Linked DNA regions of Macaca mulatta. The protein of the gene in region 2 interacts with the protein of the main gene of each other region in a pairwise test. Links are inferred from orthologs where the notes say so. Each region holds a gene or a part of one and is shown on either strand. Other genes may lie near its edges. The genes, in order: LMTK2, PPP1CA, SPRED1, PPP1R15B, ZFYVE9, CSRNP1 and TPRN.

Region 1 (3,500 bases), on a different chromosome or scaffold from region 2:
GGAAGCTAAAGGAGGATAACCATCATCATGAAAAAACACAAAAGTATCAAACTCACAATACACAAGGTAGAGCAGATACACAAGGGAGAAAGAAAAAGGAAGAAAACCTCCTCACTCATGTGGAAGTTAAAAAGGTTGATCTCATAGAAGTAGAGAGTAGAAGAGTGGTTACTTGAGGCTGGGAAGGGGAGGGAGGGGAGGAATAGTGAGAGGCTGGCTAACAAACACAAAATTTCAGCTGGACAGAAGGAGTAAGATCTAGTGTTCTGCAGCACTGAAGGGTGACTATAATTAACAACAAATTTTTGTATATTTTCTTTTTTTTTATTTTTATTTTTTGAGACGGACTCTCGCTCTGTCGCCCAGGCTGGAGTGCAGTGGCCAGATCTCAGCTCACTGCAAACTCTGCCTCCCAGGTTTATGCCATTCTACTGCCTCAGTCTCCCGAGTAGCTTGGACTACAGGCACCCGCCACCTCGCCCAGCTAGATTTTTGTATTTTTTTAGTAGAGACAGGGTTTCACCGTGTTAGCCAGGATGGTCTCGATCTCCTGACCTCGTGATCCACCCACCTCAGCCTCTCAAAGTGCTGGGATTACAGGCTTGAGCCACCGCGCCCGGCCAAATTTTTGAATATTTTCAAACAACTAGAAGAGCAGCTTTTGAATGTTCCCCAAAACAAAAAAAAATGACACGCTTGAGGTGAAGGGGATACTAGTTACCCTGATTTGATCATCACACACTGTATATAGGTATCAAAATATTACACTAGGCCAGGTGCGGTGGCTCACACCTGTAATCCCAATACTTTGGGAGGCCGAGGCAGGCGGATCACCTGAGGTCAGGAGTTCGAGACCAGCCTGGCCAGCATGGCGAAACCCCATCTTTACTAAAAATACAAAAATTAGCCAGGTGTGGTACATATCGGTAATCCCAAATACTCGGGAGGCTGAGGCACAAGAATTACTTGAACCAGGGAGGCGGACATTGCAGTGAGCCATGAGCCGAGACTGTACCACTGTACTCCAGCCAGGGCAACAGTGAGACTCTAAAAAAAATACATATATATATATATATATATATATATATATCACTGTACCCCATAAATATGTCCAATTACACTCGTCAATGAAAAAAATAATAAAAGCAAAAAATATTGTTTTAAAGAAATCCAAAAGAAGGCAAGAAGAGGGAAAAAAACCCCAAAAATCAAAAAGCAGGACAACAGCACATACAACATAGCTATAAATTAAGAAGGCTGTGACAGAAATTGTTAGTCAAAGTTTTAGGTGCATCTTCTTAGCTTCCGTTAAACAGACTCCTATAAATCATAGTATAAACATGACAGTTCACACCCCTTTCAGTTTTTTCTTTCACTTCAATAAATACGTATTAAATATCTATTATATATCAGGTCCTGTGGGAGGCACAGAACATGAAACGACTTGGTTCCTGCTTTTATAAAGGAAAATGGGTAGCAGAGGCAGTATTCAAAACGTTAACTACATCACTACAATTGTGATAATTGCTATTATGTTTCTTAAACTGTCATTTTCACACCATCAGGCACTCTTTTGTTCCTGCATCTTATACAACTACTTTCCTTTAAGAAAGTACTCAAAGAGGAAGAAGTTAGGACTTTGTTAAAGAAATGCCTAATAAAACGGTAAGCCAATACATACCAGATATTACTATACTTAGTCTGATCTGCAGTGAGCAGTCTGTCTTGAAAGCTGGTTACTAATTCTGGAGCAGTCCATCGCAGAGGGAAAACTTTTTTATCATCTGTTTCAATATAATCCTCCTGTTTTGTTAGAAAGCACACAGAATTTTGAATAGAATTATACTTTTGGTGAGTTCAAGAATTTAAATCCATGGTATTCTCAGAAAACATATACCCAGTCCAAAAAAACCAGGTCAGAAAAAAAAGCAGGCATGAAGAGCGACTTTCTGGGCGGAAAGTGGGTAAGGAGTTTCTCTGAAGCCTCCTGGGCTTCATGGGCTCATCTGCAAGCCATGAACACTTGCTAAGTCATCTTTCCTGGAAAAGGAAAGTACGCTGTGTCTGATGCATATAACATAGACTTTGAGCAAAACATTAAAACAATATATACTGGGCCTTATGTGCTGAATAGTGAAACCAGTTAGTAAGACTGCAGCCTTTAGACTCTGACAGGGATCTGAAGTCCTCATTCTACCATTTAACAGCTATGGGATTCTAGGCAAGCAACAACTTTGTGAAGTGTTTTCCGGATCAGTGAAATGAGGAAAACCCACTCTTTGTGGTGAGGATTAAATGAGATGATGTAGGCCAGGCGCGGTGGCTCATGCCTGTAATCTCAGCACTTTGGAAGGCCGAGGCAGGTGGATCACAAGGTCAGGAGTTCGAGACCAGCCTGGCCAACAGGGTGAAACCCCATCTCTACTAAAAATACAAAAATCAGCCGGGCATGGTGGAGGGAGCCTGTAGTCCCAACTACTCGGAAGGCTAAGGCAGGAGAATCGCTTGAACCCAGGAGGTGGAGGTTTCAGTGAGCCGAGATCACGCCACTGTACTCCAGCCTAGGTGACAGAGCGAGACTCCATCTCAGAAAAAGAAAAAAAGAGATGATGCAGGATGCAGGCAGGTGCTGCTAAGTGCCTGGCATCTAACAAGTGCTTGAGACACTAGAGCTACTATGTAGACAAATAACCAACTTCTATTTGCATAATATTCTTTGAAAATATTACCCATTTGGTCCTCACAAGAACTCCGAAAAATAGAACAGATCTTATCCATATGTTGCTGCTTAGAAAGTGGTGGTCAAGGCTGGGTGGGGTGACTCACACCTGTAATCCTAGTACTCTGGGAGGCTGAGACAGGCAAGTTGCTTGAGCCCAGGAGTTTGAGAACAGCCTGGGCAATATAGCAAGACTCCATTAAAAAAAAAAAAAAAAAGAAAAGAAAATAAAATGGAGGTCAAGTGGCTTCTCTGAGGTCTCCTGACAGCCCAGAGCTGGGACAGTCCCATTCTCTGCCCCACAGCGCTCTACCTCATTCACTGGGGCTACACAAACACACACAAATGGAAACTTCATTGACTTCTTCACTTTTTTCCTTTAGGATATATTTGTGACAGAGTTAAAAAAAAAACCTAAATTCCCAGGTTACTGAATGTGAGCTGAAATTTTACTGACCATGTAATGGAGAAACATTTATATGATATGTATATTTTATCATTAACAGGTAATAATTACTGTTGCTCATGTGTTCACTCCAAAATTTATTATGCACCATCAGACTACATCATTTATAAATATTTTTAGGCTGGGCGCGGTGGCTCACTCCTGTAATCCCAGCACTTTGAGAGGCCAAGGCAGGCAGATCACAAGGTCAGGAGATCAAGACCATCCCGGCTAACATGGTGACACCCCATCTTGGCCGGGCGCGGTAGCTCATGCCTGTAATCCCAGCACTTTTAGAGGCCGAGACGGGCAGATCACGAGGTCAGGAGATCAAGA
Region 2 (3,945 bases):
GCCTCCCAGGTTCAAGTGATTCTCCTGCCTCAGCCTCCCCAATAGCTGAGATTACAGGCGGCTGCCATCATGCCCAGCTAACTTTTTGTATTTTTAGAGAGATGGGGTTTCACCATGTTGGCCAGGCTGGTCTTGAACTCCTGACCTCAAACGATCCTCCCACCTCAGCCTCCCAAAGCGCTGGAATTACAGGCGTGAGCCACTGCACCCAGCCATGTCTGCTCATATAGTAATTCTTTTTACGTGCACACCCTGCAATATTACTGTGCTACTCAAAAGCTAATTATGGGGCCAGGCTTGTTGGCTCACGCCTGTAACCCCCCCAGGACTTTGGGAGGTCGAGGCCAGTGGATCACTTGAGGTTAGGAGTTCAAGACCAGCCGGGCCAATATGGCGAAACCCCACCTCTGCTAAACACACAAAAACCAGGCGCAGTGGCGCGCGCCTGCAATCCCAGCTACTCCAGAGGCTGAGGCAGGAGAACCCCTTGAACCTGGGAAGCGAATGTTGCAGTGAGCCAAAGTCGCGCCACTGCACTCCAGCTTAGGCGACAGAGCAAAACTCTGTCTCAAAAAAAATAAATAAATAAAAGCTAATTATGGGACTTGTAAGAAAATATTAATTTATCATGCCCCAAGGACCAAAGTGCGCTGGAAGTTCAGCCGTAGCTGTCTTTGAGTGTGGTCAGCCGCCTGGGGGCCACGGAGACCCACGAAAAAGGGGGTCGTACGTGAATGCGAGGTCCAGGTCTTGCACCAGTCTGTTCATATCTCTTGAGCCTCAGTTTCCTTTCCTGCACTTCGAGCAGTTAACCCTCAGTGCCTAGCAGCCGGTTATTAATATATTCACAACACCCTCCACCCAGGGCAGGGGTGGGAACGGCTGTTCTGCTTTTGAAAGAGAAAAACAACTTCCACAGTTCTTCCGGCCCCACATCCTCTGAACCGGGCTGGGCGCCTCCTCTGGGGCGTAACCAGTTGGACGCGCCCCCGACAGACCCCGCCGCCAAGGCCCCGCCCCCCAGGCCGCGGCGCTTCACGTCCAGCGGGGGCGCTAGAGCGCGGGGGACCGGGCGGGGCGGGCCCGGGAGGCCCGGAGGCGGGGCCGCGGGCCGGGGGCGGACTGGGGCGGGCGGAAGGAGAGCCAGGCCGGAAGGAGGCTGCCGGAGGGCGGGAGGCAGGAGCGGGCCCGGAGCTGCTGGGCTGGAGCGGCGGCGCCGCCATGTCCGATAGCGAGAAGCTCAACCTTGACTCGATCATCGGGCGCCTGCTAGAAGGTTGGTCGCGGCGGGGGAGGCCTGCGTCCGCCGCTCCCGGGCCCCCTGCCGGGCCCGGAAGTGGCGCGCGGGCGGGCCCCCGGGGCCAGCTTAGACTGGGCGGGGACGGGCCGCGAGGTTCGGTGGCCGCAGCCGCCCCCCCGCGGACGCGCCTGAGAGGTCCTGGGCCCGCTCCGACGCGCGGAGCAGCCCCCTCTCCCGGGCCGGGGGCGCACGGGTTGCCTGGGTTCTTGAGGCGAGGGAGAAACCCGGGAAGCCCGGTCCAGGAAGGGGTCCTGCGCTGTGAGGTGTTTGGGTGGCAGCCCCCTGCGCACGACAGTCGCCTCCCGAGGCGCTGAGGGTAGTTGGGGGCTTCCCTTGGGAGGCTTGAGGCCGAGGTCCCGGGAGGCTCAGCAGCAACAGCTGCCTGCGGGCAAGGAGCGGCCGAGGAGGCCTAGGCGCCCCCGGAGGTATCCATGGGGCCACCCGTGTCGCCCACCCTCCACCTGTCAGGGTCCCGGGTCTTGACACCCCATTGCGCCCCCAGTGCAGGGCTCGCGGCCTGGCAAGAATGTACAGCTGACAGAGAACGAGATCCGCGGCCTGTGCCTGAAATCCCGGGAGATTTTCCTGAGCCAGCCCATTCTTCTGGAGCTGGAGGCACCCCTCAAGATCTGCGGTGAGCCCCCCGACCCAGGTCCCCTTGCTTTCCTGAAAGTGGCACTGGCCCCCACAGAGTTCCTGGAGTCCTCCTCCCTTGAGCCCAGTCCTGGTCCTGGGTTCAGGTCTAGACCCTGCATCTAGCTTACCCGATTCCCTGGGTCACAGGTGATATACACGGCCAGTACTATGACCTTCTGCGACTATTTGAGTATGGCGGTTTCCCTCCGGAGAGCAACTACCTCTTTCTGGGGGACTATGTGGACAGGGGCAAGCAGTCCTTGGAGACCATCTGCCTGCTGCTGGCCTATAAGATCAAGTACCCCGAGAACTTCTTCCTGCTCCGTGGGAACCACGAGTGCGCCAGCATCAACCGCATCTACGGTTTCTACGATGAGTGTGAGTGGTCTGAGCGTCTGGGGCTGCCCGGGTCCTGAACCACACTCCTTGTCATTCAGTGGGACCTTCACATTGGCCTGATATCTGACAGACACTTGCTAGACTGTGCACTCCACGAAGGCAGGGCCCAGGTCCGTTCTTGTGCCTGCCCTGCCCCTCCTGGCATGGGGTCTGGGGAATGGTTGCTGACTGAAGGACTGTCCGTATTCTAGTGCTTTCCCCCAGGGCCCTGCCTGGTGACGTTCCCTCTACATTTGCTACTAAGCATTTAGGATGTTTGCAGATGAGCTCTGCTGTCCAGAAGCTGAGATAAACCAGACCTGTACTTGGCCCGGCTCGTGGGCCGGGGCGTGCAAGGAGTGCCAACCCTGAGGCTGGTCCAGATTGGAACTCAGTTTCCAGTGGACTCGGGTGCTTTAGAATTACTTCTGGTGGGAGGCTGAGGCGGGAAGATCACTTGGACTCAGAAGCTCCAAGTTACAGTGAGCTATGATCTTGCCACTGCACTCCAGCCTGGGTGACTGAACAAGACCCTGTTTCTTTACTTTTTTGAGACGGAGTTTCGCTCTTGTTGCCCAGGCTGGAGTGCAGTGGTGTGATCTCAGTTCACTACAACCTCCATCTCCCGGGTTCAAGCGATTCTCCTGCCTCAGCCTCCCGAGTAGCTGGGATTACAGGCATGCGACACCACGCCTGGCTAATTTTTTTGTATTTTAGTAGAGACAGGGTTTCTCCATGTTGGTCAGGCTGGTCTTGAACTTCTGACCTCAGGTGATCTGCCTGCTTCAGCCTCCCAAAGTGCTGGGATTACAGGTGTGAGCCACCATGCCCTGCCCAGATCCTGTTTGTTTAAATTACAAATTAAAATAAAAAGTAACTAGAATTACTCCTGGAAGGCTGACAGGCGGCAGGGGTGGGGGTGGTTTGCATTGGTGCCTGACTCTCTCCCATCTGCGGCTGAATAGCCCAGAGACCCCGGCTAAGGGTGGAGCAGGCAGACCCCTCACAGCTACCTCCCTCTGGGCAGGCAAGAGACGCTACAACATCAAACTGTGGAAAACGTTCACTGACTGCTTCAACTGCCTGCCCATTGCGGCCATAGTGGACGAAAAGATCTTTTGCTGCCACGGAGGTGAGCTCTCCTTAGTTGTCATCTGGGAAGTCACTCCTTTCAGGAAGTGTCTCCCATACCCCCCTGTGCTGGGCTGCACTCACTTCCTTGATGTGCATCCTACATGGGGCGGGCTTGTCTCCTTTCTCCCAGGAGCTCTGTGCTCCGGAGGCCAGGGGCGCCTTTGTGCCTGTTTGGGAACTTGAAAAAGCTGAGGGGAAGGGGATGGCTTCTGCCTGCCTAGGCACCCAGGAGACCAGTGGAGGGACCAGGAGGGTGGTGGAAAAGGTGAGGCTCACTGGCCAAGGCTTCCTGGAGGAAGGATGTCCTTGTTTGAGGAAGTGACCTTCCTTCTGGCCCTCCAGGCCTCTCCCCGGACCTGCAGTCCATGGAGCAGATTCGGCGGATCATGCGGCCCACAGACGTGCCTGACCAGGGCCTGCTGTGTGACCTGCTGTGGTCTGACCCTGACAAGGACGTGCAGGGCTGGGGCGAGAACGACCGTGGCGTCTCTTTTACC
Region 3 (4,039 bases), on a different chromosome or scaffold from region 2:
CATTAGTTCACCTATTAAAGATGAGATATAAATTACCATATTATAAGCTATATTCCAAATAAGTTCACTCTGTGGTTTATCTAATGCACAAGCAAACAAAATTGCTGGCTCTAGTAAAACTGATTATCAGAAGAACACATTATTTTCTAATATAATAGAGTTTTTTAAAGTAAAACCCCCAAGATTTTGTTCCCATGAAGAGTTAACCAAAATATTATGCTAAATATTATTATCGCCCTACCCAAACTTAAAAGTATTACAAAGCTCCTAGGGAATAATTTATTAATAAAGCAGGATAAATCTGTGAAAAAACGATTTTAAAAGTCTGGGTGAGTGAGGTAATTTCCAAGGTGTCCCATTCTAAGTACATTTGGATTTAAAAAAATATATTTAAAGCAACTCTCCCACTGAAGATTACCATTCGGTGTTTCAAATACCGACATCTTGGGGATTAAATCACTGGGAGTATTTTCTCAGTTTATTTTAACAGCAGTAGAATGCACTATCACTACACACACACAAAAAAATATGTGTTCTCACGTTATTTATGGCAAGTATTTAAAAAACGGCCATTTAGAAAAAATATATTTTACATGTGTGAATTCACATTCCATCATCTGCTTTTTTTATTAGCTGCAACAAGAAGGAAACAAGGAGCTATTAACTGCTTTAAGAAAAAAATTCAACTGGTAAGAAGTCTTTTCCCATCTCTAAAAGAAAACTTAACATTTTTGATCCAAACTATTTGTTTGAAAGATACCAATAAAAGTTACCGTCATTCCGTTCAGCGTTCTTAGCAGCTTTTCTCCTAAATAACCATTATCTGAAATAGACTTCTTGATCTCCCTCAAAGTAGATCTAATCTGCAGAAGGCAGGGAGACACTGTACTGCACTGTGAATGGACAGCCAGGTATTTTATGAATGGAGGCGATCACGTGATCCCAGCACCTCCCCGAACTGATATTTCCCACATAACTGTGTCAACATTCTCAGAACAGGGGTAGTTGTTTGTGTGTGTGTGTGTGTTTTTAAATTTAACCTAAAATTTCACGTTCTTCTTACCTTCTGAACTCTAAAATCTACACACAGACAAACAAGTCGCGAATTTTTTTTCCTGGGAAATCCTTTCAAGATGTCCAAGGTGATGGATGTTTAATTATTTTTTTTATGAATGAAGAGTGTGCTATGCAAATGAGGGCGATTCACAAAAAGAGAGAGAACATGGCTGCCACTTCTGCTTCTACACTGCACTGACACTGCAGCAGTGTACCTCCTTCTACGACCCGCTCAGCAGAAGCGTGTGTTTTGGGGTGGGGAGGGAGTAAGGGGGGAGGAAATGTTGCTTGGCCTTTCTCTAGCTATTTTACGTTAAACAGGACTCGGCACTAGACTTTATAAAGTTCTTTCGAAAACGTCTGACTTTAGTAATGCACTGTATTTAAAGGCATGCATCCAAAGGACTAAGTCCTAACTCACTTAACTCTTTCCAACCCTCCAAAGATAAACAAAAGTTGAACCTAATTACAAGAAAACGGATGCTAACATTCCGCTTGGAATTAAATCCCTTCTCAATAGAAAAGTGTTGCCAACCATTATTTCTCCATGCAGCTGTTAACGTTAAAGCAAAACATTTAAAAGACGAAGTATTTCGTTTGGAAAGCAAGGAGAAAGCCCAAATAAGCAAAAACTTAAACCAGAATGCTCTAAAAGTTGATGAAATCACCAACATATTCAGCAATGTAAATTCGGTTAAATCAACGTAAATCATGTGTTTTCACATAGCTGAAAGGTAAAAATTAGCGTTCAAAATTCTCCTCCGTTCCTAATGAAGACACGTTCAATGTTCACAAAGGTAAACTCTAGCTCAACATCTCCCACACTCCAGGTGTCCTTAATCCTATTAAATTCTAAAAATGTTTCCCTAACCCTATTTTTTACAAGAATCTTATAGGTCATAAGTTTAAAAGGGGGAGGGGGGAGAGAGTGAAGGCTTAATCGGTATTTAAGAGTCACTGACTCATCGAATTAAGATTCAAGAGCAGTTTGCTGCAGGAGGTGCTCCCACACATTAGTTTCCAAGTGAAACAGCTATAAAGGAAGCAGGATAGATATTGACGGTAGGGTGACTGATATGTGAGTGAAAATGGACGGGACAGGGCTCTAACAGGCAAAGGGGTAGTTTCTGCTCCACTTCCATCCACCCACATTATTCCATCTCATGGACGTACAATTGCCATCCTCTCCCAACACTTAATAGCCTTCCCCAAAATAAAGCAACTAAATGTGGGAGGGTGGGGAGGGGTGCTGCCACTAAAAATGGCCAAAGAAATCAGCTATCTCCAGAAGATGCACCGAACTCCCCAGGGTCGCAAGCTTTCCGGCACCCAAGTCTCGGATGGGCCCGGGGGAGAGCCGAGGGCGGATTGGGGGAGGGGGATTAGCAATCGAGATCAATGAGGCGCTTACTCGTTGTCAGAAGTCGCCGTCTCCTCGCTCATCTTTCCCTCACCGTGATCCGATCTGGAGATGGAGGAGCAACAGCAGGCGGGGGAGCAGCAGCAGCACCGAGGGGCAGGAGGCAGCGGCGGCCGGGGGGGCGCGGGGGCAGCGGCACAGGGGCCTCACCATGGTGGATGCCTCACCCAGAACGGTGCCCCCCCAGCCGGGAACCCCGGCCACCCCCACAGGGGGGTGGCGGCAGCAACCTCCGCCGTGGCGACCCCAGCCTCTTCCCCCCGCCTCAGTGCCCAGCCAAGGGATCCGAGGAGGCCCGGTGGAAAGGGAAAAACAGAGGGGCTGCAAAGGCTGACTGGAGAGCAGCTCCTCCAGCCACTGGGGTGGAGCGCAGCGGGGTCCGGCCAGGAAGGAGCCGGCGGGCGGAGAACTCGGGAGCAGAGGCGGCGCTTCCCTCAGGGATGCGGCGAGGAGGAAGCAGAGCTCCGCTCGGTGGGGGCCGGCGGGGGGGTGCCGAGCCCAGGCTCCGGGCAGCGGCGGCGCGGTCCTGCCGGAGCCCACCCCACCATCTCCCGCCTCGCCGCTGGCTGCCCCTCAACCCTCGGCGGCGCCTGGGTCGGTCCTCAGGCGCGGGCAGAGCCGGGCTAGGGGCCCCGCGGCGGCAGATTCCTCCAGACACGCTCCAGCCGGGACTCCTCCTCAGGGGGAAGGAGGGGGCGGCGGGGAGCGTGTGAGGCGAGGGGCAGGCGAGCCGATCGCTCCCACCCGGCCGGAGAAGAGCGGGCGGGCCCGGGTCCGGGGGGCAGGATCCCGAGAAGCGGCGGGAGAGGACAAGAGCGGCCGCAGGTTCCCCACCAGCCGGTGCCCACCAACAGCTCAGCGGGCCAGCTCCTCACGCCCGAGAGAGGGGAGCCGCGAGGGGGGCGGCGGAAGCGCTCACGCCGCCCGCTCCTTCCGCCGCCGCCGCCGCCGCTGCCCGAACCAGGGGCGCCCGCGAGAGAAGGAGGCGAAGTAGTCCCTCGCGACTTCTCCCGGCCGCTCGCTTCCCCCGGAGGCCAGAGCGGGCGCGGGGTGGGGCTGCCTAGCGGGGTGTCCGGGCTGTGAGGGTGTGTGGGTAGGACTAAAAGCCGCGGCCTCCGGGCGAATCACTGCAACTCGAAGTCGTTTGCAGCATAGCAAGTTTCAGGAAAGTAGTTCCCTCCTCCCTTCATTTCCCAAATCGTTGTCGAGCCACTTAGCGGGGAAAGGGGGAGGGAGGCGGAGGGATACCGCCCTGCACCGTGCTCGGTGTGCGTGCGCGCGCTCCAAACTCTTGGCACGCCGCGAAAGGGGGCGGGGGTGGAAGCTGCGAAGGGAGCTGCTAGGGAGGTTGCATTGTTGTGGCGCTTTACTCCCCGTTACTCTGCTTGGAATATCCGGGTTGCTTGAACGAAGAGGCTAGAAGGACAGTGTGGCTCAGAGGGGAAATCTGGAGGCTACTCTCTTCTGCCGTGTGTTTGTGTATGTTTTCCTCGCAGAGCAAAGAATGGAACTGGCATGAGTTCATCTTTAGTTAGTGGGGGTTAGAAGCAGGGACTGTGCAAA
Region 4 (4,236 bases), on a different chromosome or scaffold from region 2:
AGTTCTGGGAACTGAGCTGCTTCTCTGTGAGTTTAGTTTGCCCCATACCAGACATGTATTTACGCAGCACTGCCCACCTTTTACATAAGATCTCAGGTTGATGGTCTACATAGTACTCAACAATACGAGAACCCTGAAATACCTGTCAGGCTGGGCGCGGTGGCTCACGCCTGTAACCCCAGCATTTTAGGAGGCCCAGGCGGACAGATAACTTGAGCCGAGTTTGAAACCAACGTGGGCAACACAACGAAACCCTGTCTCCACAAAAATATGCAAACATTGGCTGAGCGCAGTGGCTCACGCCTGTAATCTCAGCACTTTGGGGGGCTGAGGTGGGCAGATCATAAGGTCAGGAGATCGAGACCATCCTAGCCAACATCGTGAAACCCTGTCTCTGCCAAAAATACAAAAAAATTACTGGGCGTGGTGGCACGCACCTGTAGTACAAGCTACTCGGGAGGCTGAGGCAGAATTGCTTGAACCCGGGGAGATAGCGCCACTGCACTCCAGCCTGGCGACAGAGTGGGACTCCGTCTCAAAAAAAAAAAAAAAAAAAAAAAAAAAAAAAAAAAATTGGGCGTGGTGGTGCGAGCTTGTAATCCCAGCTCCTCAGGAGGCTGAGGTGGGAGGCTCACTGGAGCACAGGAGGTTGAGGCTGCAGTGAGCCGAGATCGCACCACTGCATTCCAGCCTGGGCGACACAGCCAGACCCTGTCTCAAACAAACAAACAATACAAATTTAAGACTACGATAACCCTATAATTGGCCCACGGGGCATTCAACTTTCCATGGATTGAAAATATTCGGGAAAAATAAAGACAATAAAACATAATACAAATAAATACAACATAACAACTAGTTCCATAGCACTTTCATTGTATTAGGTAATTTACTTAATCTAGGGGATGATTTAAAGTATCTGGGAAGGTGTACGTAGGTTATATGCAAACACTACACCATTTTACATAAGGGACTTGACCAGAATCTGCGGATTCTGGTGTCTACGGCGTCCTGGAACTAATCCCCATTTAATACGAGGCGATGACTGTACACACGTTAGTGTGTATTAGGCCATCAAAACGCCTCCGGGAAATTCTCGGGTTATCTTGAAAACCCCTTTCCTACCCAAGCCCTTTAGCCTAGAGGGCTGTTGGGGCGGTCGCCTAAGAGACCACACAGAAACAACTGCGCATGCGTGCATCCCGCCGGCTGATGCAACCTCCCGCTACCGTGCGGCTCTACCTCGAGTAAGGAAGCCGACAGGGAAACCAGGCGCGACCAATCGGCGGCCACACGGAAGTGGGCGGAAAGCCCCACCCCCCCAGGGCTTTGCGAGAGACGTTGGGCGGCGCGGCGCTAGTGGCGTAGACGCCCAGCAGTCCTGCGTCTCTTCCGGCGGCTGGGGGGTGTCCTGCCGGCGCGCGGGCCCTGCGGCCATTTTGGGCTTCGCTTCCACCGCACCAGTCAACCTACCTAGTCCTTCCGGTGTCGCGTTGCTCAGGGGTTCTTCAACCTTCTGTCACTCAGAAAACCACCGCCGAGGCCGTGGGCAGGCTCCTATCGATGGTATTGAAGCGTCGAGCCGACTAGGGAACGTCCTTTCCCTCCAGGATGGAAGTCGCATCAGCTGCCGCGTATTGCGCGGGGTGTTTCTCCCTGTGTTCTGCCGCCCGCTGCCGCATCCGCTGCCCTCTGTGGCTTTTCTGCTGGCTCGGAGATCGGCCTGGAGCACCGACGCCACCGCTGGGCAAGGCCGAGACTCTGTAGGTTTCCTCCGAATCCCGTCCGACCTCCAGCCGCTGAGCGCCGCGGCCCTACCCGAGAAACTGCCAAGGAAAAGGAGATGGAGCCTGAGACAGGCGGATCGCGGAAACGGCCTGGCCCTCGGGCGGGCTTCCGGTTCTGGCCACCCTTTTTCCCTCGGCGATCGCAAGCAGGCTCTTCTAAGTTCCCGACGCCTCTTGCGCCGGAAAACTTCGGGGACCCCACACTGCTTTCCTCCGCCCAGCCCGAGACTCGGGTCAGCTACTGGACGAAGCTGCTCTCCCAGCTCCTTGCGCCGCTCCCCGGATTGCTTCAGAAGGTGCTAATTTGGAGCCAACTTTTCGGTGGAATGTTTCCGACCAGATGGCTAAATTTTGCTGGAGTCTACAGATCCCTGAAGAGACGGGAGAAACCAGCCGCCTCCACAGCGCAGAAATCTTTGAGTTCGCTGAAGCTCGACTCCTCAGACTCCTCGGCCACCAGTCCCCTTAATTGGCTAGAGGAGGGGATCCACTGGCAGTGTTCGCCCCCAGACTTAGAATTGGAGCTTAAGGCCAAGGGAAGTGCTTTGGACCCTGCAGCACACGCTTTTCTCTTAGAGCAGCAGCTAGGGGGAGTGGAGCTGTTGCCCTGTAGCCTTCAATCCCGTCTGTACTCTGACCGGGAACTTGGCTCTTCGCTCTCTGGGCCTCTAAACATTCAACGCATAGACACTTTTAATGTGGTATCCTATTTGCTGAGCCCCTCCTACCTGGACTGCTTTCCTAGGCTAGAAGTCAGCTATCAGAACAGTGATGGAAATGGCGAGCTAGTCGGCTTGCAGACACTAACCGCAGAGAGCAGCTGCCTGAGAGAGGACCCTTGTCATCCCCAGCCGCTGAGTGCAGAACTCACCCCGGCCTCGTGGCAGGGATGTCCACCTCTTTCTACAGAAGGCCTACCAGAAATTCACCATCTTCGCATGAAACGACTGGAATTCCTTCAGCAGGCTAGCAAGGGGCAAGAGTTACCCACCCCTGACCAGGATAATGGCTACCACAGCCTGGAGGAGGAACACAACCTTCTCCGGATGGATCCGAAACACTGCAGAGATAACCCAACACAGTTTGTTCCTGCTGCTGAAGACATTCCTGGAACCACCCAGGAATCCACTGAAGAAAAAATAGAATTATTAACTGCAGAAGTTCCACTTGCTTTGGAAGAACAGAGCCCTTCTGAGAGCTGTCCATCTTGTGAGATACCTATGGAAAAGGAGCCTGGAGAGGGCCGAATAAGTGTAGTAGATTACTCATACCTAAAAGATGACCTTCCCATTTCTGCCAGACCAGCTTGTAGTAACAAACTGATAGATTATATTTTGGGAGGTGCATCCAGTGACCTGGAAACAAGTTCTGATCCAGAAGGTGAGGATTGGGATGAGGAAGCTGAGGATGATGGTTTTGATAGTGATAGCTCACTGTCAGACTCAGACCTTGAGCAAGACCCTGAAGGGCTTCACCTTTGGAACTCTTTCTACAGTGTAGATCCTTATAATCCCCAGAACTTTACAGCCACAATTCAGACTGCTGCCAGAATTGTTCCTGAAGAGCCTTCTGATTCAGAGAAGGATTTGTCTGGCGAGTCTGATCTAGAGAATTCCTCCCAGTCTGGAAGCCTTCCTGAGACCCCTGAGCATAGTTCTGGGGAGGAAGATGACTGGGAATCTAGTGCAGATGAAGCAGAGAGTCTCAAACTGTGGAACTCTTTCTGTAATTCTGATGACCCTTACAACCCTTTAAATTTTAAGGCTCCTTTTCAAACATCAGGGGAAAATGGGAAAGGCTGTCGTGACTCAAAGACCCCATCAGAGTCCATTGTGGCCATTTCTGAGTGTCACACCTTACTTTCTTGTAAGGTGCAGCTGTTGGGGAGCCAAGAAAGTGAATGTCCAGACTCGGTACTGCGTGACGTTCTATCTGGAGGAAGACAGACACATGTCAAAAGAAGAAAGGTTTGTTTCTTATCTTTTAACATGCCTGATATGTTCTGACTGTTTTGATATGGTTAAATATAGCAGCATGACTTTGGAGGCTTAGGAGTGCATGTGTTTTTGAGGAAGACCTCTAAATTCGTATACTTGCATTGAGAAATATGTAAATGACCCTTCTCCTCTCCCTGACTCCCCACCCCCATGCACATTTTTGCTGTCCACAACGAACATACCAGCGTGTAGATGTTAGCAGGAAAGTGCCATTTTTCTTTGGGTTGGTAGTTCTGGACTGTTTCTTTACAAGCTTCAACTTTTCACACTTTTTAACGGACTATTAAACTTTGTGTATACACGATTTAATTTTTCTAGAGATTGAAAAGGTCCTGTTACAGCCATAGAGTTTTAAACTGATTTTAAATGTATGTTGTTTGCAAATACTTAATATTTTGTTTGCACATAACAAGAGTGTCTTCATTCCTGTCCATTACAACCCAAAGGGATGA
Region 5 (4,276 bases), on a different chromosome or scaffold from region 2:
CCTCAATGGATTGGATCATGTCTGGTCACATTGGGGAGGGCAATCTGTTTTATTCAGTACACTGATTCAAATGCTAATCTCATCCAGAAACACCCTCACAGACATACCCAGAAATAGTATTTAATTTGAGTACCCCATGTCTCAGTCAAGTTGATATATAAAATTATCTGTTGTATTATTGGACTTGCCTCACAATATTGAAAAACTGTATATATGATTTGACCTTGAATCTATAGAGTTAATTTTGTTTAAGAAAATCTTTAATTAGCTAGATATTAGAGGGGTGGTTACTTTACTTTCTTTCTCATTTTGACCTTGGTTTGTATTTTTATACTTTCATACTTCTGATATGACTTAGTCCTTTATTTAATAGATATAAATCTGTTTCTTAGTGTCAGTAGCTCTTCTCATTTAGAGTATATCATAGCATGCATATTTTTCTAGTTCTCAAGACAGGGAAATCTTTTACCAGTGATTTTCATTCTTTATTCTTTATTGGGTCTTGGAAACTTGAATTTTAGGTCTTTTTCTTATTCTCTTATTTTTTATTAAGCACATCATTTTCACGTCTGATAATAGAATATTTGTAATGTCAGGAAATTTTTCTTGCTGCCTCAGTTTATCTTTAACACAGTTTATCTGTGTTCATTAAATTATCTCCAATATACTTACCTGTTCTGAAAATACTATGATTATGTGTTAGATATTTTATACTGATAATATAATATTCATAGTCTTAGTTTTATTCTGATTAGCTTCAACTACTAATCTTGTTCAAGGCTAAATTAGGCCCTTAAAGAATTTTACATTGTCTCTAAGCAGTTATAGTTGGGCTACCATAACTTAATGGATATTGTCATATTTTCACAAGAGGGTAGTAATATTTGAAGAGCCTTTGTCTTTTGCATACACCCCTGATAGGGAAGGTTAATATTGGGTTAATAGATCCATTGCTTCTAAGCAGTTGGAGGAGGACTGGAATGAAGAGACTCCATTTGGAGAAAAAAATAGTTTGGCAGTAAAAATCACAACAAGAAACTTGTGAAACTCAACTTAAGAATTCTGTATGTATTGAAAAAAAATCGCGCTAGAAGGACATTCTTGTGAAGCAGCAGTTTTCTTAGCTTTGGATTCTTGGAGGGCCCATTATAAGGCAAATTATATACTTATGAATTAACACAATTGAAGTCATTGGGTAGAAAGTGCCTGCTGTTGATGTTTCACTTTGCATTATCCATTGAAAATAAACGTGCAAAAACTCTTCTTTGTTGAAACATTTAACTTTTGGCCTTTTCAGACAATAAAATGTCTCTGTTGCTGCCTTGCATGCAAGCCAGGTCTTTGAATCCAAAGGTATAATTGTATTTACTGTTCAAGCCCCATTGCTTTTGTTTGTCTGGCTATGATAGATTTATATGAAGAAAATTAGGGTTTATTGTTTCATCAAGTGTAATGAGCAATGTGTTTTTCATTTAGGATCAAACAGAGCATACTGAATCAGCAGGACTGGCTGGTGGTGCAGCAAGCATGAGTAAGCACCGAGAAGTCTGTTCCTTATCACGTGTGTAAGGGGAAAAAGGTAAGAAAATGTTTTTATTTCTCTTAGAGATTGAACTTGAGAAACCAATGAGATCTATAGAAGATAATACTGATGCATATATGTTATTTGCTTCATTTGTAACATTGTATCTTATTAAATCAGGAGTATGATTTTCTTCAAAAAGATTTGACTTAAATTCAGAGGAAAAGGGTATTTAAAAATCACTGTTATTTTATGTCACAGTGGTCACAATGTTAATTTCCCTACCAGTGCTGGCTCCTTCGTTTTAGAGTTAGTTGAGTATAGAAAGGTAATTTCAGAAAAAAATATGACTTTGAGCAATATTTTAGCTCATGCAAGAGCTAAACAAGTAAAGCTGATTTGGGGATGGGGAATCAGAAATGTAAAGTTAATTACATTATTTTATTTTGTATTTTTAGATAAGTTATTATGTAGAGCAATAATTTCCAGCAGAAAATTGGAAGTATTCTTGTAGAGCAGGAACCCTTGACTTTTTCCTAACTAGGAGTCATGTTGTTTTTTTTCAAGTCTTAAGATTATTTAAGGGTGTGAACCCCCAGTATCTGTGTTGGAAACAAGTGCTTGGTGTAGCCAAAAGAAACCTGCACTTAAGACAGAAATTTTCTCAGCAAGGCACTTTTACTTCTGCAGAAGGGTGCTGTTCACTCCTGTTACAAATGCAGGAGCACACCGAACAAAGGAAGGAAGGAAGGGGCTTTTAACCCTAACACAGTTCCTGTTTCTGTGTCTTTCCCCTATTGACTGGAGTTGGACTGCATAATCTAAGCTGATCCTCACTGGCTAAGGCTTAAACTTTTCCAAATAAGGTAAATGTGTGATTTGTGAAGGGGCAGGGTGGGTAAAGAAGAAATGGTTAGGCTTAACAGAAGAGGGGGTAGGATTGTTTACAACTTATGACCAGGAAGTTGAGTCTTTGAAGAGGAACTCAGTTGTACCAACAATCTCCCCTCTTCTGTCTTATAGTTCTTCATCTTCAAGTTTCTTTAACAGGATCTGGCTATGTTGTTCTTCTTGATTATCTAGGTGCAAGAGCTTATCTGAGTACAGAGGGGGAGAGGTTGGGGAGGTTTTTGTGAGAGCTGCTTCTGTGAGCCTTTGGGTTAACCCACAAATACAGGGTATGATACAGCAACCCACAAGGATGAGTACACCTCTAACAATTGCAAGGAAGGTAAAGATTGAGGTCATGAGTCCTTTCCATTTTCCAGACCACCTTTCCATTAGTCCTGTAAAGGGGTCGTCTATTCCAGAGTTTTCGGCTAGTTCATTTGCTAGGATGGTAAGGCCTTGTAAGGCTTTTATGATTGTCCCGTCGGGGGCTGTATTATTAGGAATAAAATAAAACACTGGACCCTGATCATGACATAGACTTCACCTTTTTTGGCCAACACCATGTCAAGGGTTATTCTATTTTCCCAGGCCATCTGGCTGGTGGGGTCTAATTTCAGCAATTCCTTTTATGGCATCTCTGGTATAATTGATGAATTGCTGCTGATTGTAGTATATGTAATGTATCCAGTCTACATTTTTGTTTATAGTGGACTACCAGAATAATATAGACTCGAACCTGGTGGGTATTTGGTTTTGAGCTTTGAATTCATTTGGTACCCTCTGCAGGACCCCGATGCTGTCTATGTAAACTTGGGGGTCAAAGGACCCATTTATTGGGGCTTCTTTTTTTCTTCTGGTTACCTGCTTCCTGATGAAATGCCAAGGTGAAAGGGATGGCCAATTGGATCAGAGCACAAGTGCCACTCCAGTTGCTTGGCAGTGTTCCAAATATTGGTCCCCCTCTATACCACTATACATCCACTTGGGGATGGACTGGGGCTGACTGATTGGTTAGCTCTTGAAAAGGTTTAGGTCCACTGCATCCCATCAGGTTTCCAAGGAATGTCAAATTTTCCCCTTGTTGTAAGAGACACAAGGTAAAATTGGCATTGAGAGCAGGAAGTCGAATGTCCCTTGGGGGCTGTCCCATAGGGCTCCTGACTTTTGGGAAAAGTAGTGAAAGAGTGGCACATGACTTGTTTCCCCAGGCTGTGAGGTGCTGGAAGAGAGCTACCATACAGTCTTTGCCTGATGGGTTGGCCCATCTGAGTGGGAGGGGAACAATTTGGGTTTCTGGCCTGCCTGTTGCACAAGCGTAACAATCGGTTTTATTTAGGGTGTGAATGGAATATTTAATCCATTCCAGCTAGGCATTTACATCTTGATAACCGGTTTCTATGGCTAGGGTTTGCTGTAAATCCTTTACTTCTACTATAGCTACTTTGGTTTTGTCATTAGACATGAAGCGAGAAATGGTTTGATTTTTGTGGTTTTGGGAAGTGAGTAATGGAGGGAGATGGAGGAGGAGGAGCAAACCTCATTTCAAAGATGCCTGTAGGGTCTTTTGCAGTGACATCCGCTCCTAGGCCATAAAGGCGCTCTAAAGTGGGGATACGGTCGGTGGAGGTGGGGATAGGAATAGAGAGAAGTACTGGGTTGCACTGGTGGTTTTGGCAATTTGAGGGGGTGGTTCCTTTGGTGAAGTGGAGGTAGGGTTTTAGGGTGGTGCAACCCTCTAAGGAGGTCCAGCCCTGATATTTGGTGGTCAAGATAACATCTCCTCAACTATAACATAACCCCTTAAAGGCTTGTGGTCGTCGATTGCAAGGGTCCGGGGTGATACTGGTTTTTCTGCGGGTGGAG
Region 6 (4,296 bases), on a different chromosome or scaffold from region 2:
AGGTGAGGAGGTTATGACCTCCAAGCTACAGACAGGGAAACAGAGACACAGGGAAGCTACAGTCATGCTGCAGGTTCTAGTGATGAACAATCCCTTCCAAATCTGCAGCGCAGGAATGAAATGAGAAATTACCTCCTCCCTGATACTCCTTCTGGAGAGGCGGGGGAAGTGCCCCTGGTTCTCGTGTTCCTCTGTTCCACGTGGGAATCCAGAGGCTAAGAGGCAGAGGCAGGAGATGAGACAAAAAGACTGAGCCAGAGACAAGGAGAGGCCAAGAGGGAATGAAAGATAGTGAGAATCTAAGTGTCAGACAGTGAGTCAGAGGTGGGGGGAGGGGCCCTCAGCAGCTACCCAGGAATCAGGATTCTGACCATGGCAGTGTTCCCAGGGTGAGCACAGCCCCCTCCCTAGGGTCCTGGAGGAAGGAAAAGCAGTTCCCAGGAGCTGGCTTGGACAGAAATACCTCACCGCCGAGGAACCCCAGAGACAGGCCCTGAATCAGAGAGCCAGGCTTCTTCTGGGATCTGAGCCCTGACAATTGGGCAGCCCTCCTGCCACCACACACAGGCACTGACAACCCCCCACTCAACTGGCCACGGTTATCCACACACTCAGGTCACACTATGCGAATCCAGGAAAGGCCACCTCACCCCTGGGCACCAAGCAACCAAGGGCTGTTTTCGAGAAGTGGGGGCGGGGCTTGAAAAAGTCACAGCAACTCCTCTGTCCACCTCGGCAGTCCCACCAGTGCCCCAGGCCTCAGCCCAAGCCAGTCTTAGGGAGGGGGCACCTTTAGCTGCCTCCATCCCCCTTCAGGAATCTGAAGAATGTGTCCTTTAACCTCTGAGCCCCAGGCCTTGGCCAGTCCCCCCAAAACACTTGGGGTCACATGACCCCTGTCCCTCAGGAACAACTTCCTGGGAGAAGGGGAGGGCACCTCCCAGCACCTCTAGTCCCCACTGAAAAACCAGCCTGGGTGGCCCAGAGAGGACAGACCGAAAGCCTTGGCACTTCCTCCCCAAGCATCCCTCTGAAGGAGAGCTGGGGGAGGGGATGGCTCCTCAGCTTTGGCCTTCAGGACCTGGCACTGGATAGGTGCCAAATGTATGCTGGCTACATGAGGCACTTGTTCTTGCAGAAGGGACATTGCACCTGACAATGACTGCTTCCTCCACCTAAGACGGGCCTTCTTCCCTCTCTCATTCATTCATTCATTCAACAAATAGGCACCAAGCTCAACAAATACGTGCCAAGCACTGTGGCAGGCACTCGCGCATGCAGGGAGCAAGACTTACACAACTGCGGCCCTCTTGAAGCTCTGAGTTGAGCAGGGAGGACAAATAGAGTGGGTTGCTGGGATGGAGGGTCTGAAGGGTGGGACAGGGTACGGCTGGGGTGAAGGTAGGTCTCTTTGAGGAAGGAAAGTAGGCAGAGTTCCAGATAGGGACTCCGCATGGGTAAGGAACAGGAGGAGGGACCAGGAGAGTGTGATCGGAGGAGGGGCAGCCCGCGAGGCTGATCCTGGGCTCCAGGGCAGGCTTTAGCTTGAGGGCACAGCAAGCCACAGAGGGCTTAACTAGGGAGTGACAATGCCAGATTTGCATTTTAAAAACGTGGCTCAGCACCGGGAGTGGAGGGGGTGTGACCGGTTGGAGGTGCTGCCAGGGCCAGGTGAGAGGACAGGCCAAGGGCATAGGAGAAAGGCAGATACTGGGATGTGGTGAAAGAAGAGGGCAGGGCTGTCAAGGATTTGGGTCGGGGGAGGTGATGAGTTACTCTCCAAAAGGATTGAGACTTCTGGGTGGAGGTGCTGGGTGGGCAGCAGGACACGGGGAGGGACTCTCTGGTGTCAGGAGTGTGGGCTACGGCTGTGTGTGACTGTGCCAGGAGCGGGAGTGACTAAGTGTGTGACTATGGCTGTGGTGTGGGCATCTCCACAGTGCGTGCCTGTGAATGGGCCCCGGGGAGGAGAAACTGAGGAAGGGGAGGAAATACGTGCTGCGGAAGGAGGAGAAGTGCGTGGGAGAGAGTCTACGTGTGCCTGCGGGTGGCCGGTGTAGCTGCGCCCGTGACTCACAGCAGTGGCCTCTGAGAGTGACGGCGACTGACAAACAGGTGAGCCTACGACACAATCCCTCCCTCCCTCCCTCCCGGGGTCCGTGACTCACCGCGCCTCCCTGTTCGCTCATCCCTCCACTCCCTCCCTGACCCCCGCCGGCCGGGGGCGCCCGGCACACGCCGCAGCTCCCGCAGCCTCCCCGAGGGGGGAGCCCGAGGAGGAAGGCGACAAATGTCACCTGCTCCGGCCACGCGAGGAACTTCTGAAAAGTTCTCAGGCAACTGGGTCAAAAGGAAACTCGCCCGCGGACGCACGCCCCCGTCGCCTTGCCGCTCGCGCGCAAGCCCTGCTCTGTCCCCACTCGCGCAGAGCTCGGGGAGCCGTGACTTCTCTCGGGGTTACCGCGGCGGGCGGGGGAGGGGAGCAGAAAACCTGCGACTCCCGCTGGCCGGACCCCGGGCCCCCGACTCCGGCCGCGGCACGCCGTCAAAGCCGGGCAGCTCCCGCCCCCGCGCCCGCTCAGGGTGCCGAGGAGAGAACCGCAAGAGGCAGGAGCGGCAGTGCCACTCGCGCTGAACGCCCCCTCCCCAAAGTCCCGTCCTGCCGGGCCCAAGGCCCTTCGGCGCTCACCTGCAATCCGGACGCTCGCGGAGGAAAACGACGCGACCCGCGTCCCGGCGGGGGACGCCCCCAGCGCCGCGACTCTGTGCGCTCGGCCCGGCAGCCGTCGGTCCAGCCGCCCCTAGCTCTGCGCGTCCGGCAGCGGCGGCGGCGGCGGGAGACTGGCTGCGCCCAGCCCCGCCCGCCGCTCCGCCCTCCTCGTCAGTGGAAAACTCCGGGGCTCACTGCGCTGACGCACGCCGGGCCTCCAGCCAGGCCGCCCGGCAGCCCCGCCCCGGAGGCGCCGCCTCCTCCCCCGCCTGGAGCCTGGCGCAGCGGCCTGGGGGCCTCCCTGCGGACTCTGACCCGGCGACTGCGCCTCCGCCGCTCTCCGCCCCCAGCCCTCTCCCGCCAGAGCCCTCCCCGCCCCGCTTCCAGCACCGTCCCTAAAGGCGCGGACGACTCAAGCTGGCAGAGCCGGGAGTAGAGATCCCCCCTCGCCCCACCGCCCCAGCTTACAGATGGGTAGACTGAGGCCGGGAGCAAGGCCAGGGGCTAGACAGTGGCACAGCCGACGTCTCCCGTACGCTCTCCACCCCCACCCCTCTAGAGGGAGTTTATTATATTCGAATCTAAACGTTCCCTCCTCCGCCCCCAACCTACCACCCACCCCCAGATCCGTCGGAAAAGTAAACTGTGGCTGGAGAGGAATCTGGGGTGTGTGGGGAGCAGGGAGGCGGGGAGCGGGAAGGATGGATGTAATCAGTGGGCCTGAACATCACCCCTGCCCACGGGCCAAGAGACCCTTCCCTGCAGAAGTTCCAAACTAGGGGTTCTTGGAACTAGCTTCCCCACTCCCACCTCAACCTTCCCTTAAAAAAATAAAAAGTCTGGTTTCTTCCGGGCCAGATCTTGGCCACTTAAAATGGCCCACTGCCTTCTCTGCTCCCGCCAAGGCCTTTCCTGACTCAGGGCCAACCCTCCCGGTACGACTTGCCCCGGCAACCAAGTCCTGGCCTGGGAGCCCACCCTCAGCCCCACTTCCCAACCGCAGGTACGGGTCTACCCATCACCTCGAGCGTTTCCACCCTCACGCTTTTGCTGCAGCCGGTCTTCTCGACTGGAATGCTCTCCTGCCCTCTCTCTGCTTACCAGAATCCCAACGCTTTTAAGGGCTCAGCTTGCACTGCCTCCTCCAGGGAGCCTTCGTGGGAGCCTGACCCTCCCCCTCCCAGTCCTGCTCCCGCTGCATTCTGGGTTCTTCTGACTGTCCTAGATGAATGCTGTCAGCCACTAGCCCAGCCCTCAGGATTCCATTCTACCTTCCTCCAGGTTGGGGGTGGGGGTGACCTCCTGGCCTGTTTGAATGGTATCTGGGGTGGAGACGATGGTGAGAGCCCCTCTTCAGCCTCAGATGTGTATGTAGAATGGCAGGGGTCTGCTCCACTTTACCTTTCCTGGAAGAACAATAGGAGGAAAGCAGGTTGGGGGAAGATAAAGGCCCCTGTCCTTCCGGATGCGTTGAGTGTGTACCTGGGGGCCTGCAGGGGGAGGTGTCTGGGCAGCTGGAGCCAAGCTTCCAGTGGCTTCTCAGTACCCTCCTGATGAAGTCTCAACTCCTTGGGGCCTACAAAACC
Region 7 (3,500 bases), on a different chromosome or scaffold from region 2:
TGTCAAGCCTGGGGTCGGCATAACTTTTGTCAAAGCCAGATTCAAGCTGAACAGTGGGAGTGAGTTTCCTCGTGATGTTATTTATTTCTAGATTTTGTGTTTTGTGTGTTCCCCTGTTTTATTTTGGTAGTTCAGAATTGGGCAACCCTATTAGGGTAGAAGTGATGAACATTGGATGCTTCCTTTGGAAAGGCGATTTGAGGAGGGCCCTATGGGAGGAGACACTTGGCTTCTGGAAGGCTGAAATGAAATTCTGGCCGGGCGCGGTGGCTCACGCCTGTAATCTCAGCACTTTGGGAGGCCAAGGCAGGCGGATCACGAGGCCAGGAGTTCGAGATCAGTCTGGCCAACATGGCAGAACCCTGGCTCTACTAAAAATACAAAAATGAGCTGGGCGTTGTGGCAGGTGCCTGTAACCCCAGATACTTGGGAGGCTAAGGCAGGAGAATCACTTGAATCCGGGAGGCGGAGGTTGCAGTGAGCCGAGATCCTGCCACTGCACTCCAGCCTGGGTGACAAGAGCAAGACTCCATCTCAAAAAAAAAAAAAAAAAATTATTTTCTCCAGCTTAATGGAGTGGCAGGAGAATAAGGCAGCATTAAGCTAGCGGCTGCTGCAGACTGTCATGGGGCACAGAAGCTGAGGAGGGCATCCCCAAGTTAAAAAAAGAAAAACCTGTTCTGTGTCTTCGCAGAGACCCAGGTGACCCTGGAGCACTGTCCCTGACAGGCAAGTGGTGTGGGAAGCAGCAGTGTCTACTGAGCAGGCTGCTGACTGCAGGGCAGGTGATGGAACGGTGATGTCCGCACTCCAATTCCCCTTCTCCCCATGGCTCCAAGCGATCTCCCTATTATCTGCAGGCTTGAAAGACTGTGGAAGCACTCCGAAGCCCTCCCTGGGACAGAAGGGACTTGTCGGCCTGGAGGCTGTGCCCTCAGGGTCATGGCATCTGGAGCCTGAATGGGGGGAAGTTCAACCGATGGGAGAGGAGTAGCCTTAACGTGGCGGCAGGGTGGAGTGATAAGACGCAGGGGTCGGCCCTATGGGGCCCACCGTTACCCTGGCTTTTTTTTTTTTTTTTTTTTTTTGGCTCTTAATGCATTGGAGAACTGTCCAAGCATACAGGGCCCTGCCCTGGTGAGCCTGCTTGCGTGTGGCGGGAGAGGCTGCTTCCTTTGTGCCTGCTCCTGCACATGCTTTGTGGGGACCACGGATGGAAAGGTTGGGGTAAGAGGCTCCCACCTGGGCAGCCTATAAAAACTAGCGATTTCTGAGAAACTGGTTCGTTGGGGCTGCTCAGGGCTCCAGAATTGGCATTTCGAAGCCCCGCAGGCACCTGCCGGAGGTCGGAGGGCCCCTGGTGAAAGCAGGGTCCGGGCCAGAGTGTGGCCTGTGCACCGTCCATGGGCGCGGGTGCCTTCGGTCTTGGAGCAGCCCCCTTCCTGCACCCTCAGCGGATGGAACAGGCGGCCTCGGTGCTGGCAGCGTGAGGAAGTCCCAAGCTCAGCCAAGGTCACTCGAGGCGCGGGGCCCAGGGGCCGCCCACCCAGCTCCCCGCAGGGACGCCGGGAGGCGACAGCGCAGGGGCGGAAGTGGGGTCCGCCAGTGAGCGGCGCGAGGCGCCTGGGTGTGTCCGAGGGGCCTTCCCAATGGAGGCCGGCTCCGGTGATAGGCGTTGTCCAATGAAGTCCCTTGGGAGGCGGGGTTGAGGAGAGTGTTGTCCAATCGGTAGGGTCACCTGAGGGGCCCGCCCTCCTCTCCTGCCATAGGTGGGCGTCCCGCGCGGGGCGGGGAGAGCGGGCTTCCCCCCAATGGTCGGTGGCCCGGGAGGGGGCGTGGCCGCGGCGCCCAGGTCTGCCGCGACGGCGGCGGCCACTCCGGCCCTCAGTCCAGCCGTCCGCGGCCGCGTTCGAAGCATGGCCGCCCTGGGGCGGCCGGGCTCGGGGCCGCGCGCTGCGGTGCCCGCCTGGAAGCGCGAGATCCTGGAGCGGAAGCGGGCCAAACTGGCCGCGCTGGGCGGGGGCGCGGGGCCCGGGGCGGCGGAGCCCGAGCAGCGGGTGCTGGCCGAGAGCCTGGGCCCGCTGCGCGAGAACCCGTTCATGCGGCTGGAGGCCGAGCGGCGGCGGGGCGGGGGCGCGGCGGGGGCGCGGCTGCTGGAGCGGTACCGCCGCGTGCCCGGCGTGCGCGCCCTCCGCGCCGACAGCGTCCTTATCATCGAGACGGTGCCCGGCTTCCCGCCCGCGCCGCCCTCCCCGCCCGCCCCAGGGGCCGCGCAGATCCGCGCCGCCGAGGTGCTGGTGTACGGGGCGCCGCCCGGCCGCGTCAGCCGCCTGCTGGAGAGGTTCGACCCGCCCGCTGCGCCGCGCCGCCGCGAGAGCCCCGAGCGCGCCCGCCCCCCGCCCCCGCCGCCGCCGCCGCCGCCGCCCGCGCAGCCCCGGCTCCCGCCCGCCGTCCCCAGCCCGCCCGTCGCGCCCGGGCCCCGCGGTGGAGGGGCGAGCCCCGGGGCCCGCCGCAGCGACTTCCTCCAGAAGACCGGCAGCAACTCCTTCACCGTTCACCCCCGGGGTCTGCATCGCGGTGCGGACGCCCACCTGCTCTCCAACGGGCCCTTGGTCCCGGAGCCCCGGGCCGGCCCTGCCAACCGCCTCGCGGGCTCCCCGCCTGGGTCAGGACAGTGGAAGCCAAAGGTGGAGTCGGGGGATCCCTCCCTCCACCCGCCCCCCAGCCCCGGGACCCCGAGTGCCACTCCAGCCTCGCCCCCTGCCAGTGCCACTCCTAGCCAGCGCCAGTGCGTCTCCGCAGCCACCAGCGCCAACGACTCCTTCGAGATTCGGCCGGCCCCCAAGCCAGATATGGAGACCATCCCCTCGGGGGACCTCCAGGCCCGGGCGCTGGCCAGCCTCCGCGCAAACTCTCGAAATTCCTTCATGTTCATTCCCAAGAGCAAGGCCTCCGGGGCCCCTCCTCCTGAGGGGGCGCAGTCCGTGGAGCTGCCAAAGGGAGACGTGGGCCCGGCCTCCCCGAGCCAGGAGCTCGGATCCCAGCCGGTGCCTGGAGGGGATGGTGCGCCTGCCCAAGGGAAGAGCCCCGTGGAGGTCGAGGCACAGTGGGCAGTCGAGGAGGGGGCCTGTCCCAGGACAGCCACCGCCCTCACTGACCGGGCCATCAGGTGGCAGAGGCCGTCCTCACCACCCCCCTTCCTGCCGGCTGCTGCAGAAGAAGCTGAGCCTGCTGAGGGCCTCAGGGTTCCTGGCTTGGACAAGAGTAGCCGGGAATACGGGAAGCCAGGGCTGCCTGTCACCTTCATCGATGAGGTAGACTGGGAGGAGGCCCCCCAAGAAGCCAAACTACCCTGCTCCCTGCGTCCTGCCAGACCCGGGTGCGTGGCAGAGCTTCAGCCCCGGGGCAGCAACACCTTCACAGTGGTGCCCAAGAGGAAGCCAGAGGCCCTGCAGGGCCAGAACTTCAGTCAGGCCAACGGGAAGCCCCGGCCACAGGAG

What was found.
Region 1: the proteins of PPP1CA (region 2) and LMTK2 interact in a two-hybrid assay, tested with the Homo sapiens proteins (2 studies listed by BioGRID and IntAct, with this or other methods). The link is inferred for Macaca mulatta from reciprocal best matches to the Homo sapiens genes PPP1CA and LMTK2.
Region 3: the proteins of PPP1CA (region 2) and SPRED1 interact in binary tests that used the Homo sapiens proteins (3 or more experiments, as listed by UniProt). The link is inferred for Macaca mulatta from reciprocal best matches to the Homo sapiens genes PPP1CA and SPRED1.
Region 4: the proteins of PPP1CA (region 2) and PPP1R15B interact in binary tests that used the Homo sapiens proteins (3 or more experiments, as listed by UniProt). The link is inferred for Macaca mulatta from reciprocal best matches to the Homo sapiens genes PPP1CA and PPP1R15B.
Region 5: the proteins of PPP1CA (region 2) and ZFYVE9 interact in binary tests that used the Homo sapiens proteins (3 or more experiments, as listed by UniProt). The link is inferred for Macaca mulatta from reciprocal best matches to the Homo sapiens genes PPP1CA and ZFYVE9.
Region 6: the proteins of PPP1CA (region 2) and CSRNP1 interact in binary tests that used the Homo sapiens proteins (3 or more experiments, as listed by UniProt). The link is inferred for Macaca mulatta from reciprocal best matches to the Homo sapiens genes PPP1CA and CSRNP1.
Region 7: the proteins of PPP1CA (region 2) and TPRN interact in binary tests that used the Homo sapiens proteins (3 or more experiments, as listed by UniProt). The link is inferred for Macaca mulatta from reciprocal best matches to the Homo sapiens genes PPP1CA and TPRN.

The regions. Positions count from the first base shown.
Region 1 is NC_133408.1:45,374,957-45,378,456, reverse strand, and holds part of LMTK2 (serine/threonine-protein kinase LMTK2), read right to left. Parts: intron 1,804-3,500; coding exon 1,682-1,803; intron 1-1,681. UniProt on the Homo sapiens protein: Phosphorylates PPP1C, phosphorylase b and CFTR.
Region 2 is NC_133419.1:6,982,226-6,986,170, forward strand, and holds the start of PPP1CA (serine/threonine-protein phosphatase PP1-alpha catalytic subunit), read left to right. Parts: upstream 1-1,145; 5' UTR 1,146-1,221; coding exon 1,222-1,276; intron 1,277-1,802; coding exon 1,803-1,934; intron 1,935-2,083; coding exon 2,084-2,314; intron 2,315-3,341; coding exon 3,342-3,446; intron 3,447-3,790; coding exon 3,791-3,945. UniProt on the Homo sapiens protein: Protein phosphatase that associates with over 200 regulatory proteins to form highly specific holoenzymes which dephosphorylate hundreds of biological targets.
Region 3 is NC_133412.1:15,562,169-15,566,207, reverse strand, and holds the start of SPRED1 (sprouty-related, EVH1 domain-containing protein 1), read right to left. Parts: upstream 2,801-4,039; 5' UTR 2,500-2,800; coding exon 2,468-2,499; intron 895-2,467; exon of another isoform or gene 774-894; intron 1-773. UniProt on the Homo sapiens protein: Tyrosine kinase substrate that inhibits growth-factor-mediated activation of MAP kinase. Negatively regulates hematopoiesis of bone marrow.
Region 4 is NC_133406.1:62,155,183-62,159,418, reverse strand, and holds the start of PPP1R15B (protein phosphatase 1 regulatory subunit 15B), read left to right. Parts: upstream 1-1,436; 5' UTR 1,437-1,843; coding exon 1,844-3,754; intron 3,755-4,236. UniProt on the Homo sapiens protein: Maintains low levels of EIF2S1 phosphorylation in unstressed cells by promoting its dephosphorylation by PP1.
Region 5 is NC_133406.1:188,440,105-188,444,380, reverse strand, and holds the start of ZFYVE9 (zinc finger FYVE domain-containing protein 9), read left to right. Parts: upstream 1-1,476; 5' UTR 1,477-1,579; intron 1,580-4,276. UniProt on the Homo sapiens protein: Early endosomal protein that functions to recruit SMAD2/SMAD3 to intracellular membranes and to the TGF-beta receptor.
Region 6 is NC_133407.1:101,454,037-101,458,332, forward strand, and holds the start of CSRNP1 (cysteine/serine-rich nuclear protein 1), read right to left. Parts: upstream 2,801-4,296; 5' UTR 2,690-2,800; intron 1-2,689. UniProt on the Homo sapiens protein: Binds to the consensus sequence 5'-AGAGTG-3' and has transcriptional activator activity. May have a tumor-suppressor function. May play a role in apoptosis.
Region 7 is NC_133420.1:5,252,974-5,256,473, forward strand, and holds part of TPRN (taperin), read left to right. Parts: intron 1-694; 5' UTR 695-1,811; coding exon 1,812-3,500. UniProt on the Homo sapiens protein: Essential for hearing. Required for maintenance of stereocilia on both inner and outer hair cells. Necessary for the integrity of the stereociliary rootlet.